Anolis sagrei: one gene and its partners. The protein of the gene in region 3 interacts with the protein of the main gene of each other region in a biochemical or structural test. Links are inferred from orthologs where the notes say so. Each region holds a gene or a part of one and is shown on either strand. Other genes may lie near its edges. The genes, in order: AURKA, TRIM63 and UBE2N.

The links.
Region 1: the proteins of UBE2N (region 3) and AURKA form a complex in vitro, tested with the Homo sapiens proteins (3 studies listed by BioGRID, with this or other methods). The link is inferred for Anolis sagrei from reciprocal best matches to the Homo sapiens genes UBE2N and AURKA.
Region 2: the proteins of UBE2N (region 3) and TRIM63 form a complex in vitro, tested with the Homo sapiens proteins (2 studies listed by BioGRID). The link is inferred for Anolis sagrei from reciprocal best matches to the Homo sapiens genes UBE2N and TRIM63.

Annotation. Positions count from the first base shown.
Region 1 is NC_090024.1:226,267,873-226,271,621, forward strand, and holds the start of AURKA (aurora kinase A), read right to left. Parts: upstream 2,522-3,749; 5' UTR 2,437-2,521; exon of another isoform or gene 2,359-2,436; intron 2,329-2,358; exon of another isoform or gene 2,257-2,328; intron 1-2,256. UniProt on the Homo sapiens protein: Mitotic serine/threonine kinase that contributes to the regulation of cell cycle progression.
Region 2 is NC_090034.1:74,269,459-74,273,207, reverse strand, and holds the start of TRIM63 (E3 ubiquitin-protein ligase TRIM63), read right to left. Parts: upstream 2,403-3,749; 5' UTR 2,263-2,402; coding exon 2,104-2,262; intron 1-2,103. UniProt on the Homo sapiens protein: E3 ubiquitin ligase. Mediates the ubiquitination and subsequent proteasomal degradation of CKM, GMEB1 and HIBADH.
Region 3 is NC_090025.1:154,604,879-154,608,627, reverse strand, and holds the start of UBE2N (ubiquitin-conjugating enzyme E2 N), read left to right. Parts: upstream 1-1,375; 5' UTR 1,376-1,481; coding exon 1,482-1,511; intron 1,512-3,749. UniProt on the Homo sapiens protein: The UBE2V1-UBE2N and UBE2V2-UBE2N heterodimers catalyze the synthesis of non-canonical 'Lys-63'-linked polyubiquitin chains. This type of polyubiquitination does not lead to protein degradation by the proteasome.

The DNA of each region.
Region 1 (3,749 bases), on a different chromosome or scaffold from region 3:
GGAGACTAGGATGTGAAACAATGGCTTCAAACTACAAGAAAGGAGATTCCATCTGAACATGGGGAAGAACTTCCTGACTGTGAGAGCCGTTCAGCAATGGAACTCTCTGCCCTGGAGTGTGGTGGAGGCTCCTTCTTTAGAAGCTTTTAAACAGAGGCTGAATGGCCATCTGTCAGGGGTGGTTTGAATGCAATATTCCTGCGTCTTGGCAGGGGGTTGGACTGGATGGCCCATGAGGTCTCTTCCAACTCTTTGATTCTATAATTCTAAGTGAGTAATGTATCCCTCAGAAGAGAAATTCATCCTGGAAGAGTGATTGTGGGGGAAAGATTTCTCCACTGAAGTTTTCTCACCAAGCCTTGCTTCCAGAACAAGCTTTTTTTTTTTTCAAAATCCACAGGGACAGGAAGTGAGGTGAAATCTTCTGAACAGGAGCACAAACAGCATACCAAACATCACAGGGGTATTAACCCTTCCTTATGCTATCTGAAACATCTATCTATCTAGAATTACACTTTTAAATGTACCTGTTCCAATTTACATACAAATTCAACTTAAGAATGTTGTTTGTAACTTGGTGGCTGCCTGTACCACGCACCTGAAGAATTTGCAGGTTCAGGTGTGGGGAACAATACAATGGTGCCAGATTCTCAAAAACCTAAAAAGGACTGCCTTCGTCATATATGCCTTAAACTGCCTGCTATAGAAGATTCTGCTGACCAGAAGATTCAAACCCGGCATGGGGTGAGCTCCCGGCCATCAGTCCAGCTTCTGATCACCTAGCAGTTTGAAAACAATGTAAGTAGATAAATAGGTGCTGCTTTGGCGGAGAGGTAAAAGGCGACCTGAAAAAACATGCCAGCAAAAAACTGACCAAGAAAGGCATCTATGGAAAATGAAACAACAGCACCTCTCCATGACCGAGTCAAGCACAGAGAGGAAAAGAGAGATGCCTTGCCTCTGTTTATGTATTGTCTGTCTCTGCCAATTTTACAATGGCATTGAATGTTTGCAATAGGAGTCCCCTCAGGAAGATAGAGCAGAATATGGAGTACGAGTATATCTATATATAAATGCTCTGTGCATAATGAGTACCTTAAAAACAAAAGAACCAATGAATGATATAACACCAAATTTGGCAACAAAACGTCTCACAACACAAGGAGTGACCATCACTCAAAAATTTATGATTTTGTCATTTGGGAGTTGCAGTTGCTGGGATTTATAGTTCACCTACAATCAAAGAGCATTCTGAACTCCATCAATGATGGAATTGAACCAAACTTAGTACACAGTTCTTCCATGACCAACAGAAAATACTAGAAGGGTTTGGTGGGCTGTGTCCTTTGGTTTTGGAGTTGTAGTTCACCTACATCCAGAGATCACTGTGGACTCAAACAATGATGGATCTGGACCAAACTTTACACAAATACTCAGTATGTCCAAATGTGAACGCTGGTGGATTTTGGGGAAAATAGAATCTTGACATTTGGGAGTTGTACTTGCTGGGAGTTATAGTTCACCTACAACCAAAGAGCATTCTGAACCCCACCAACAATGGAATTGAAGCAAACTTGGCACGCAGCTCTCCCATGACCAACAGAAAATACTGGAAGGGTTTGGTGGGCTGTGTCCTTTGGTTTTGGAGTTGTAGTTCACCTACATCCAGAGATCACTGTGGACTCAAACAATGATGGATCTGGACCAAACTCTACACAAATACTCAGTATGTCCAAATGTGAACGCTGGTGGAGTTTGGGGAAAATAGAATCTTGACATTTGGGAGTTGTACTTGCTGGGATTTATAGTTCGCCTACAATCAGAGCATTCTGAACCCCACCAACGATAGAATTGGGCGAAACCTCCCACACAGAACCCCCATGTGGGCCACAGCAACGCGTGGCAGGGGACGGCTAGTTATTATTATTATTATTCACATTGGCCTATGATGATGAACCATTGACACATACTGGCTGTTAGGAATTGTGGGAGTTGCAATCCCAAACACCTGAAGGGCCAAAGTTTGTACATGCCTGCTCTATAATGTAGAATCCTGGGATTTGTAGGCTTTATTCTTCTCTTTGGCAGAAGATAATGACCTTTTCAAACTACAACTCCCAGGACTCTCCAGCATAGTTGAAACAGTCTCAAACTGCATTATCCATGCAGTGTGTTGCTTCTCCAGTCTCTATCCAGGGCATGGGAAAGGCAAATTTAGACTAGAACTCCCACCCTCCCCGCTCACTGTATGCTCACCAACTTCCTGCGGTGGTTGCTCCTAAAGGCTTGTTCTTTATGCTTCAAACCCTCTCCCCACAAAAAAAAATGTTCCCAAAAAAGCTTAGAGAAGATAGATACCACGCAAGAGAGCCCCTGAGTAGAAGCTTCCAGGTTAAAACGCTGTGGAAGACTCCCGAGAAGGCCCACTCACCTCCACTCCACACCACTCTGCACTTCCGACGAGCGTTTGAATTCAAACCTCCGCCCGCCTCCTTCAACGCCCTTTAAACCATTCCCGCGCTACGATTGGTCAATCATCTCCCTTTCCTGCTCCGGCGTCCGCTCGCTGATTGGCTGCCTCCGCGTCAGGGCCCGCCCCCTTCCTCCGGTTCCAACTGTCTCAGCTGAAAAGAAACGGGGCCAGCTTCTTTTCTTCCAAGGGTCAGCTCTACTACGCATGCGTCCAACACGACAAGCAAAAAAAAAAAAAAGATAAAGGGGGATTTGAATTGGAAGGGGGCGTGGTCTGTGGAACCTTCCCCAACGCTTCACTTCCTGGTTGTTAAGCTTAACGCTTGAGTTTTTTCTGGCGCGTGCGCTCCTTACGCCGTTTGCGCAACGCTGCCCCCACTGGTTACCGTTTACTCTTCCGCCAGTTGCGCTTCGCTTCGCCTCGCCACGCCCCCTTCGCTCAGTGTTGGGAAGGAGAGAGTTGCTCTTCTCCGTTTGAAATGAGATCTTGGTGGTATCATCAATCCAAACCCATCGCCTGCCTCAAATGTTTAAATACTAAGTTTGTAGCCCAAACTTATATGGAATGGATGTTGTGCTGTGTTATAGAAGGATAATGGAAGGCCACAAGCAACTGTTTTGTACTCTTCAGCTTTGAAGCCACTTGTGGAAGGAAGAGGCCTAATCAGGACTTTGAAAGACTTGACACATTTAGATTGATCAGAAAGTCACAAAAAGGGTCACACTTGCCAGGATTTGTGACTTAACACTTTTTCCAAAGCGACTACTGACAATCAGGAAGTTTCAGCATTTATGGGAAGACGATATAGTGCTCTTGTATGGTTTTTTTAATTCAAAAAATGCCGTATTCTCGCTCACAACTGCATATCTTAAGAGTCAACCCTTCTTTTCTTACCCATTGAGTACAAGACCTGTCAAGAAGAGGATTTCACTCACATTTTGTGAGAGTCATGTCTCGTGTGGTTGTTTTGGCAATTATGGGGTAAGAAGCACTTGAGAGACTCTTCCATTAACAACAACTGATACAAAAGCCGGTTAGGATTTTCCACAAAGAGCAGTTATATCGTACCATTTCAGGCTAGAAGCCAGTCAATTGCATCACAACACAACCAGTGAAAGAAGCACTGTGAACTTCAGAAGAAGCCCATTTCCCTGCCTGTGGGTTTTGTAGGCTGTTCTTATGGGGTAAGAAACACCTGAGGGACTCTTCCATTAACAACAACTGATGAAAATATACAAAAGCCGGTTAGGATTTTCCACAAAGAGCAGTTATATCG
Region 2 (3,749 bases), on a different chromosome or scaffold from region 3:
TAAAAGCTATGAAGGAGCAATGGCAACAAATTATTTTTTTCCCAACATAGCTTGGCAAGCTCTGCCGTCAGTCATGCTAGGTTTGGCTTTAGTATCAACACTACTCCCACGGCACCAACTGCCAGCCAAACTATGAGAACTTGGGAAAACTTTGATCTCTGTTCCAGAAGCCGAATCCAATATCTTCTTTGCCCCTGAGCTGTCCTCCTGACTCCCCTTATTTTGTTGTCTCGGAAGTCAAGCAACAGCAATCAACACTGTTGGAAACAACTGCGTCACAACTAGAAGAGGCCCCAAAGAGACCGTCCTCTTATCAGCTGGTTCTTCCTCTTGAGATAGGAAACAGATTCCTTTTGGGATTGTTTCCAGTACCTTCACCAAGAGGTACAATCCGGAGAGGATTTGTCTTTGTTTGATGTTTCAAAGGCTGGGACAGGGACTCCTTAGAAAATGTTTGGCACCATGATAACAAAAAAATACTTATAAATGTTTCCCAACCCCCCTCATTTGTTGTAATTCATATTCATCAGAATTAGTGGCACACATTGGCACCATTCTTAGGTTCTTGTTGCAGTTTGCCCATTTCTACCAACAAAGTTTTTACAAACAGTTGGTGTATTGTTCTATTGGATGCTTATAGAGGTTATGTGTCCTCCCTTAAAGAGGATTATCCTGTAGTTCAGTGTTTCTCAATCTTCCTATTGCTGCGGCCTCTGAATATAGTTCCTCATGTTGCGGTGACCCCCAACCACACAATTATTTTTGTTGCTACTTCATACTTGTAATTTTGCTACTGTTATGAATCGTAATGTAAATATGTGAAATGCAGGATGTGTTTTCATTCACTGGACCAAATACCTGATACACCCAAATTTGAATACTGGTGGGGTTGTGGGGATTGATTTTGTCATTTGGGAGTTGTAAAAAGGTAAAGGTAGTCCCCTGACATTAAGTCCAGTCATGTCTGACTCTGGGGTGTGGCGCTCATCTCCATTTCTAAGCCGAAGAGCCAGCGTTGTCCGTAGACACCTCCAAGGTCATGTGGCCGGCATGACTGCATGGAGCGCCGTTACCTTCCCGCCGGAGCGGTACCTATTGATCTACTCACATTTGCATGTTTTCGAAGTGCTAGGTTGGCAAAAGCTAGGGCTGACAGCGGAAGCTCACGCCACTCCCCGGAATTGAACCTGCGACCTTTCGATCAACAAGCTCAGCAGCTCAGTGCTTTAACCCACTGCGCCACCAGGGGCTCCACCAGGAGTTGTAGTTGACGGGATTTATAGTTAACCTACAATCAAAAAGCATTCTGAACTCCACCAATGATGGAATTGAACCAATCTTGGCACACAGAACTCCCATGACCAACATAAAATACTGGAAGGGTTTGGTGGGCATTGACCTTGAGTTTGGAAGTTATAGTTCACCTGCACCTCCATCTAAGAGAACACTGTGGACTCAAAAAATGACGTATCTGGACCAAACTTGGCACGGATACTCAATATGCCCAAATATGAACACTGGTGGAGTTTTGGGACACTAGAGCTTGACATTTGGGAGTTGTACTTCCTGGGATTTATAGTTCACCTCCAATAAAAGAGCATTCTGAACCCCACCAACGATAGAATTGGGCCAAACTTGCCATACAGAATGCCCATGACCAACAGAAAATACTGTGTTTTCTGATGGTCTTTGGCAACCCCTCTGACACTCGCACCCAACCCCACAGGAGTCCTGACACCCAGGTTGAGAAACACTGGCCTAGACATTTCATTACAGGTCCTTCTACGAAAATGCAAATTTGACTCTTTGTGAAAATACTACTCCATTTTCAGAAAAAAATAGTTTTTGAATTGCAACTCGCAAGCTCTCCTGACCGGTGTGCCTGTGATAGTTCATTATGTTGTCTAGGTCTTGAAGATTCTGGGAATTTCAGTTAAAAAAAACTTATCCAAGCTTTGCTTTCAAAGTTATCATCAGCTGCTTCCTTGTCTCACTTCATCTCCCTCACCCTGTACCTCTCCCTTGAACATTATTTCCAGCATTGGCAGTATTGAAACTGACATTTACCCACTTCGGGTCAATATTAGGAGGAGATCTACTGACCTGAAAGATGTCATTGGCACATTTCCTGCAGAGGTTGTGCTGGCAAGGAAGGATCACCACGGGTTTGGTGAACATCTCCAGGCAGATGGGGCAGATCAACTGCTTCTCCAGATTCTCCATGGGGTTAGAGTCCCGTATGATGCTTGACTGATAATCCATTGCCCTGTTTGAGGCTTCCGAATTATATCCTAGGTGGAGGAAGTCTCTGCAGAAAATGTCTTACTGTCTTCTTATTGGGCTTCTCGAGCACTTGTCGGCTGCCTCTTAAAGCTCAGCTTGTGGCTTTCTGCACTTTTGTCTGGCTCTTGTCTATTTATAATTTATCTCTGGGAGTCACATGTGCTTCGGCTGGCAGGATCCGTTGGGAAGGGGGTCGTGTTTCCTAAAGGGTGACATGCTGTCACATGGGGAGGGGGAGCAATCGCCCCTCCAGAGAGAGAGAGCCTGCGCTCTGTAAACAAGGTGGAGGGGACAACCTGTCCAAATGGCTGGAGGAAGTCGGTTTCCAGGGATGGACCTTATTTTTCTCCTTCGTTGTTTGTTTGGACAAAGAAACTGGAGCCACGGTTGTGTAAATGGTCACACTTCCTCGAGCGTTAAGTAAGCGACATGAACCTGCTCTGCACCCACCCCAGGATCCACAACCCAAGACCTCCTTGTTTCCATAAAACCAAGGGTTAAACTTATACTGCTCAAGAAATTGTTTGCTATTTCCAGCACCAGCTGCTGTCCTCTCCCAATGGGTGACTTTTAACAACTCTGACAGCAATGTGGCTCTGGACCTTGAGCTAGTTGCCTCTTATTCTCTGATCTGCACAGGCCTCCTTCCTCTAAGGCAGTGCTTCTCAACCTTCATAATGCTGCGGCCCCTTAATACAGTTCCTCATGTTGTGGTGACCCCCAACCATAACATTATTTTCGTTGCTACTTCATACTGTTCTGTTGCTATTGTTATGAATCATAATCATAATGTAAATATCTGATATGCTGGCTGTATTTACATTCAGTGGACCAAATTTTGGCATAAATACCTGATACGCCCAAATTTAAATACTGGTAGGGTTATGGGAGTAGATCAATAGGTACCGCTCCGGTGGGAAGGTAACGGCGCTCCATGCAATCATGCCGGCCACATGACCTTGGAGGTGTCTACGGACAACGCTGGCTCTTCGGCTTAGAAATGGAGATGAGCACCACACCCCAGAGTCAGACATGACTGGACTTAATGTCAGGGGACTACCTACCTACCTAGGGTTATGGGGGATTGATTTTGTCATTTGGGATTTATAGTTGACCTGAAGTCGATAGGAACTTTAGGAGGGTCTTTCCCAGGAGGAGGGACCCTGAGACCCCACCAAAGAGGGATCGCTACTTTGGCGAGCTAGGAGAAGCCAGATTTCAGCAACTTTTATTTCTTTAAAAATTCCAAATAAATCTCACCAAAGTTGAAGAAGCGGCACCGAGGTGTTTTATTAGCGATTCAGCTGAAAAGGATGCAATGTAGCAATCATTCGCCTACAGAGCATGTGGTTACAGAAATCAGAGACATTTTTATAGGGATAACAGGCTTAGCAGTTTCAAAATTCCCGCCCTCCGCCCTCCGCCCGGCTCACAGGGGATTGGCTGATGCAATAACAGCTGGGAGG
Region 3 (3,749 bases):
CTGTCCACATTCGCTGGGACTGGGGCACTAGGGTTAAGCGCCTGAAGGGGAAAAGAAAAGAGCCTGAGGCTGTTAGGAATGGTGGGAATTGGGTGATAGTATGATAGCTGGGTCCGGAAGCTCTGAGCGTTATGCACATTTTGCAAGAGTGGTTGTGAATAAGAGAAGGGACCACGTAAGGGTAGAAGGCTAGAAATGAGGGGAGGGTTGGGATGAGGTTTAGGGTTAGGTCAGAGGCGGCCCTAGGTAATTTTCAACGGTAAGCAAACAGTATTTTGGCGCCCCCCCCCCCCCAATCACTGATATATATTTTCTGTTCATCATGGGAGTTCTGTGTGCCATGTTTAGTTCAATTCCATCATTGGTGGAGTTCAGAATGCTCTTTGATTTTAGGTGAACTATACATCCCAGTAACTACAACTCGCATATGTCAAGGTCTATTTTTCCCCAAGAGCGCCCCTGGGCAAAATCAACTATACTGAGAATGCTTACTTTGCGTAATGGGTTGAGCCGCCCCTGGGTTAGGTTTTAGGTTAGGGTAAGGATTGGGCATAGGGTAATGTTAAGGTAAACTTTAGGGTTAGGATTAAGGGTTAGGTTTAGGGTAAGATTTAGGGTTAGGGCAAGATTTAGGGTAAGCTTTAGAATTAGGGTTTGCGTTAGGGTTAGGGTAAGGTTAGAATATGCTTTAGGGTTAGGGTTTGTGTTAGGATTAGGGTAAGGTTTAGAGTTAGGTTAGGATTAGGGGTTAGGTTTAGAGTTCGGTTAGGGTTTTACCATTAAAGAACTCTTATATTCCTTCTGTAATATCGCGTTGCGCATTCAGCGCTCCCGAAGGATCGAAGTAGAAACAGCGTTAGGCTCGGAGCTTCCGGACCCAGCTATCATACTATTGGATTGCTGTAGTTTTTTTCGGGCTATATGGCCATGTTCTAGAGGCATTTTCTCCTGACGTTTCTCCTGCATCTGTGGCAAGCATCCTCAGAGGTAGCACTACATCTGAGGATGCTTGCCACAGATGCAGGAGAAACGTCAGGAGAAAATGCCTCTAGAACATGGCCATATAGCCCGAAAAAAACTACAACAGCCCAGTGATTCCGGCCATGAAAGCCTGCGACAATATATCATACTATTATCGGGAACTGAAGGCCAAAACAACTGGAGGGCCTAAGTTTGCCCATGTCTGCTCCAGCCTGCTCCTCCTGCCAAAGAATGCCGGCGCCTCACCAAACTACAACTCCCAGGATCCCACTGCAATGAGGCAGGGCAAGGAACTGCCTTGCCTTGAGCCCGCGCGGCCTTCCTTCCGCCTTCCTTCCAGGCGCCCTCGCGCCCCGCCGAGGACTCCCTTTCCCGGCGTGCGTCGGGGCAGCGGCCCAGCGGGTGACGTCGCCGGAAGTGAAGAACGGACTCCTTCCGGCAGCGCGTGAGCCCCGAGCGGAGCCGAGACCCAGCGGAGCCTGAATCCCCGATAAGACAAGATGGCCGGGCTGCCCCGCAGGATCATCAAGGTAGGTCGGCTTCGCGCCCTCGGCCTCACCGTTCTCGCCTGAGGCCTTCCGCGCAGGGAGACAGGCCTCTTGGGCCTCTCGGCCGGGCCTTGGGCCTTGGGCGGAGAGGAGCCCTGAGCCGGGACTCAGCGGGGAAGGCGGCGCTTCCGGTGCCCTCAGCTGGCCTTGCCTCTTGCGCCTCTGCGAGGCCTGAGGGCCGCAACAGGGAGAGTGGGAACGCGCCGCCATTTGAGGCGGGCGGGCAGTCGGGCAGGTGGGAGTGACCGCGCGGACGGAAGGAGGGAGCTGCGAGGGAATGAATGGCCAGGCCTGCCGCCTCTCTCTCTCCCTCCCGCCAGCCTTCTCTCGCTGCCCCTCTGCGGTGAAGGGAGGCGGCTCTGTTTGTGACTCAAGGACGGGCTGGAATGGCGGGGAAATGCCGCAAAAGGCGCACCAGATGATGCCCTCAGCGCCCAGGCATTGCTCCGCCAGGGTGAGGAGGGCCACTCCTTGCCCGCTTCGCCCACAGAATCGCCGAGTTGGAAGTGACCCCCGGGAACACACGCGCCAAGCACTCCCGACAGATGGCCATCCAGCCTCTGCTTCAAAACCAGACCCTCAATTTGGGAGGAGAGGCGTGGCCGGGTTTCAGTCATGACCCAGGAGCGCCTCTTAGGCTCCTTCCAGACAGGCCCTATATCCCAAGATCGGATCCTAGGTTTTCTGCTGTAAACTGGATTATATGAGTCCGCACTGCCAGAATTTTTTTTTTTACGTGTCAGGAGCGACTTGAGTAACTGCAAGTCGCTTCTGGTGTGAGAGAATTGGCCGTCTGCAAGGACGTTACACAGGGGACGCCTGGAAGTTTTTGGATGTTTTACCAGTCATGTGTGGGAGGCTTCTCTCATGTCCCAACATGGGGAACTGGAATGGATAGAGGGAGCTGAACCCTCTCTCCCTGGTTGTTTTGGCCTTCAACTCTCACCATTCCTAACAGCCTCAGGCCCCTCCCATTTTACTCCCATCACTAGTACACATTTGTGGTTTTGACTTCTCTAGATTTGATTCAAATGTCTTCCCTAGGAATTTCCAGCTCCCAGGTGACCCTATGGTTCATACCTTTTTGTCATGCTGGGAGACCTAGAAATTTATAGTGAGGACATCTCTCAAGGGGAAAGCTTGTTTTCCACTGCCCTAAAGACCAGGAACAGGAGCAATGGATTCCAGCTGCAGGAAAAGACATTCCACCCAAACATTTGGAAAAACTTCCTGTTGGTGACAGCTCTTTTGCAGTGGAGTATGGTCCTCAGAGCGTGATGAAGTCTCCTCCTCTGGCCATCTGTTGGGTGGCTTTTATAGTGTGTTCCAGCATGGAAGAAGGGGGTTGGACTGGATGGCCCTTGGGGTCTCTTGCAACTTTATGGTTCTGTGAAATGCCATAATTCCGCAGCAGCGAGCCATGGCAATCAAAGCGATGTCAAACTGCATTCCTTCAACAGTGCAGATATACTCATGGCAAGTGGATGTAGACACTGTGTTGTCAAAGGCTTTCATGGCTGGAATCACTTGGTTGCTGTGAGTTTTCCGGGCTGTATGGGCATGTTCCAGAAGCAGTCTCTCCTGATGTTTCGCCCACATCTATAGTAGGCATCCTCAGAGATTGTGAGGTTTGTTGGAAACTAGGCAAGTGAGGTTTATAGATCTGTGGAATGTCCAGGGCAGGAGAAAACTCTTATCTGTTTGAGGCAAGTGTGAATGTTTCAGTTGATCACTCTGATTAGCACTTAATGGCCTTGCAGCTTCAAACCAAAGTATTCTGCAAGGGCATTGCACAGGGGGCACCCGGATGTTTTATCATCCTTGTGGGAGGCTTCTCTCATGTCACTGCATGGGGAGCTGGAACTGACAGAGGGAACTCAGCTCGCTTTCCCCTCATGCGAACTATTGACCTGTCATTCAGCAATCCTGCTGGCACAAGGTTTTAACCCAATGTGCCCCCTAGATGTGGGTGAAACATCAGGAGAGAATGTTTCTGGAACATGCCCATACAGTGCAGAAAACTCACAGCAACCCAGATTTAGACACCTTTTGAGGGCCCTTCCAGACAGGCCATATATCTGATCTGAACCCAGCTTTACTATTTATCCCAAATTATCATAGCACTCCATGGCACAATGAGTTAAACCCTTGTGCCAGCAGGATCGCTGACTGACACGTCATTGATTTGAATACAGGAAGACTGGGTTGAGCTCCCTCTGT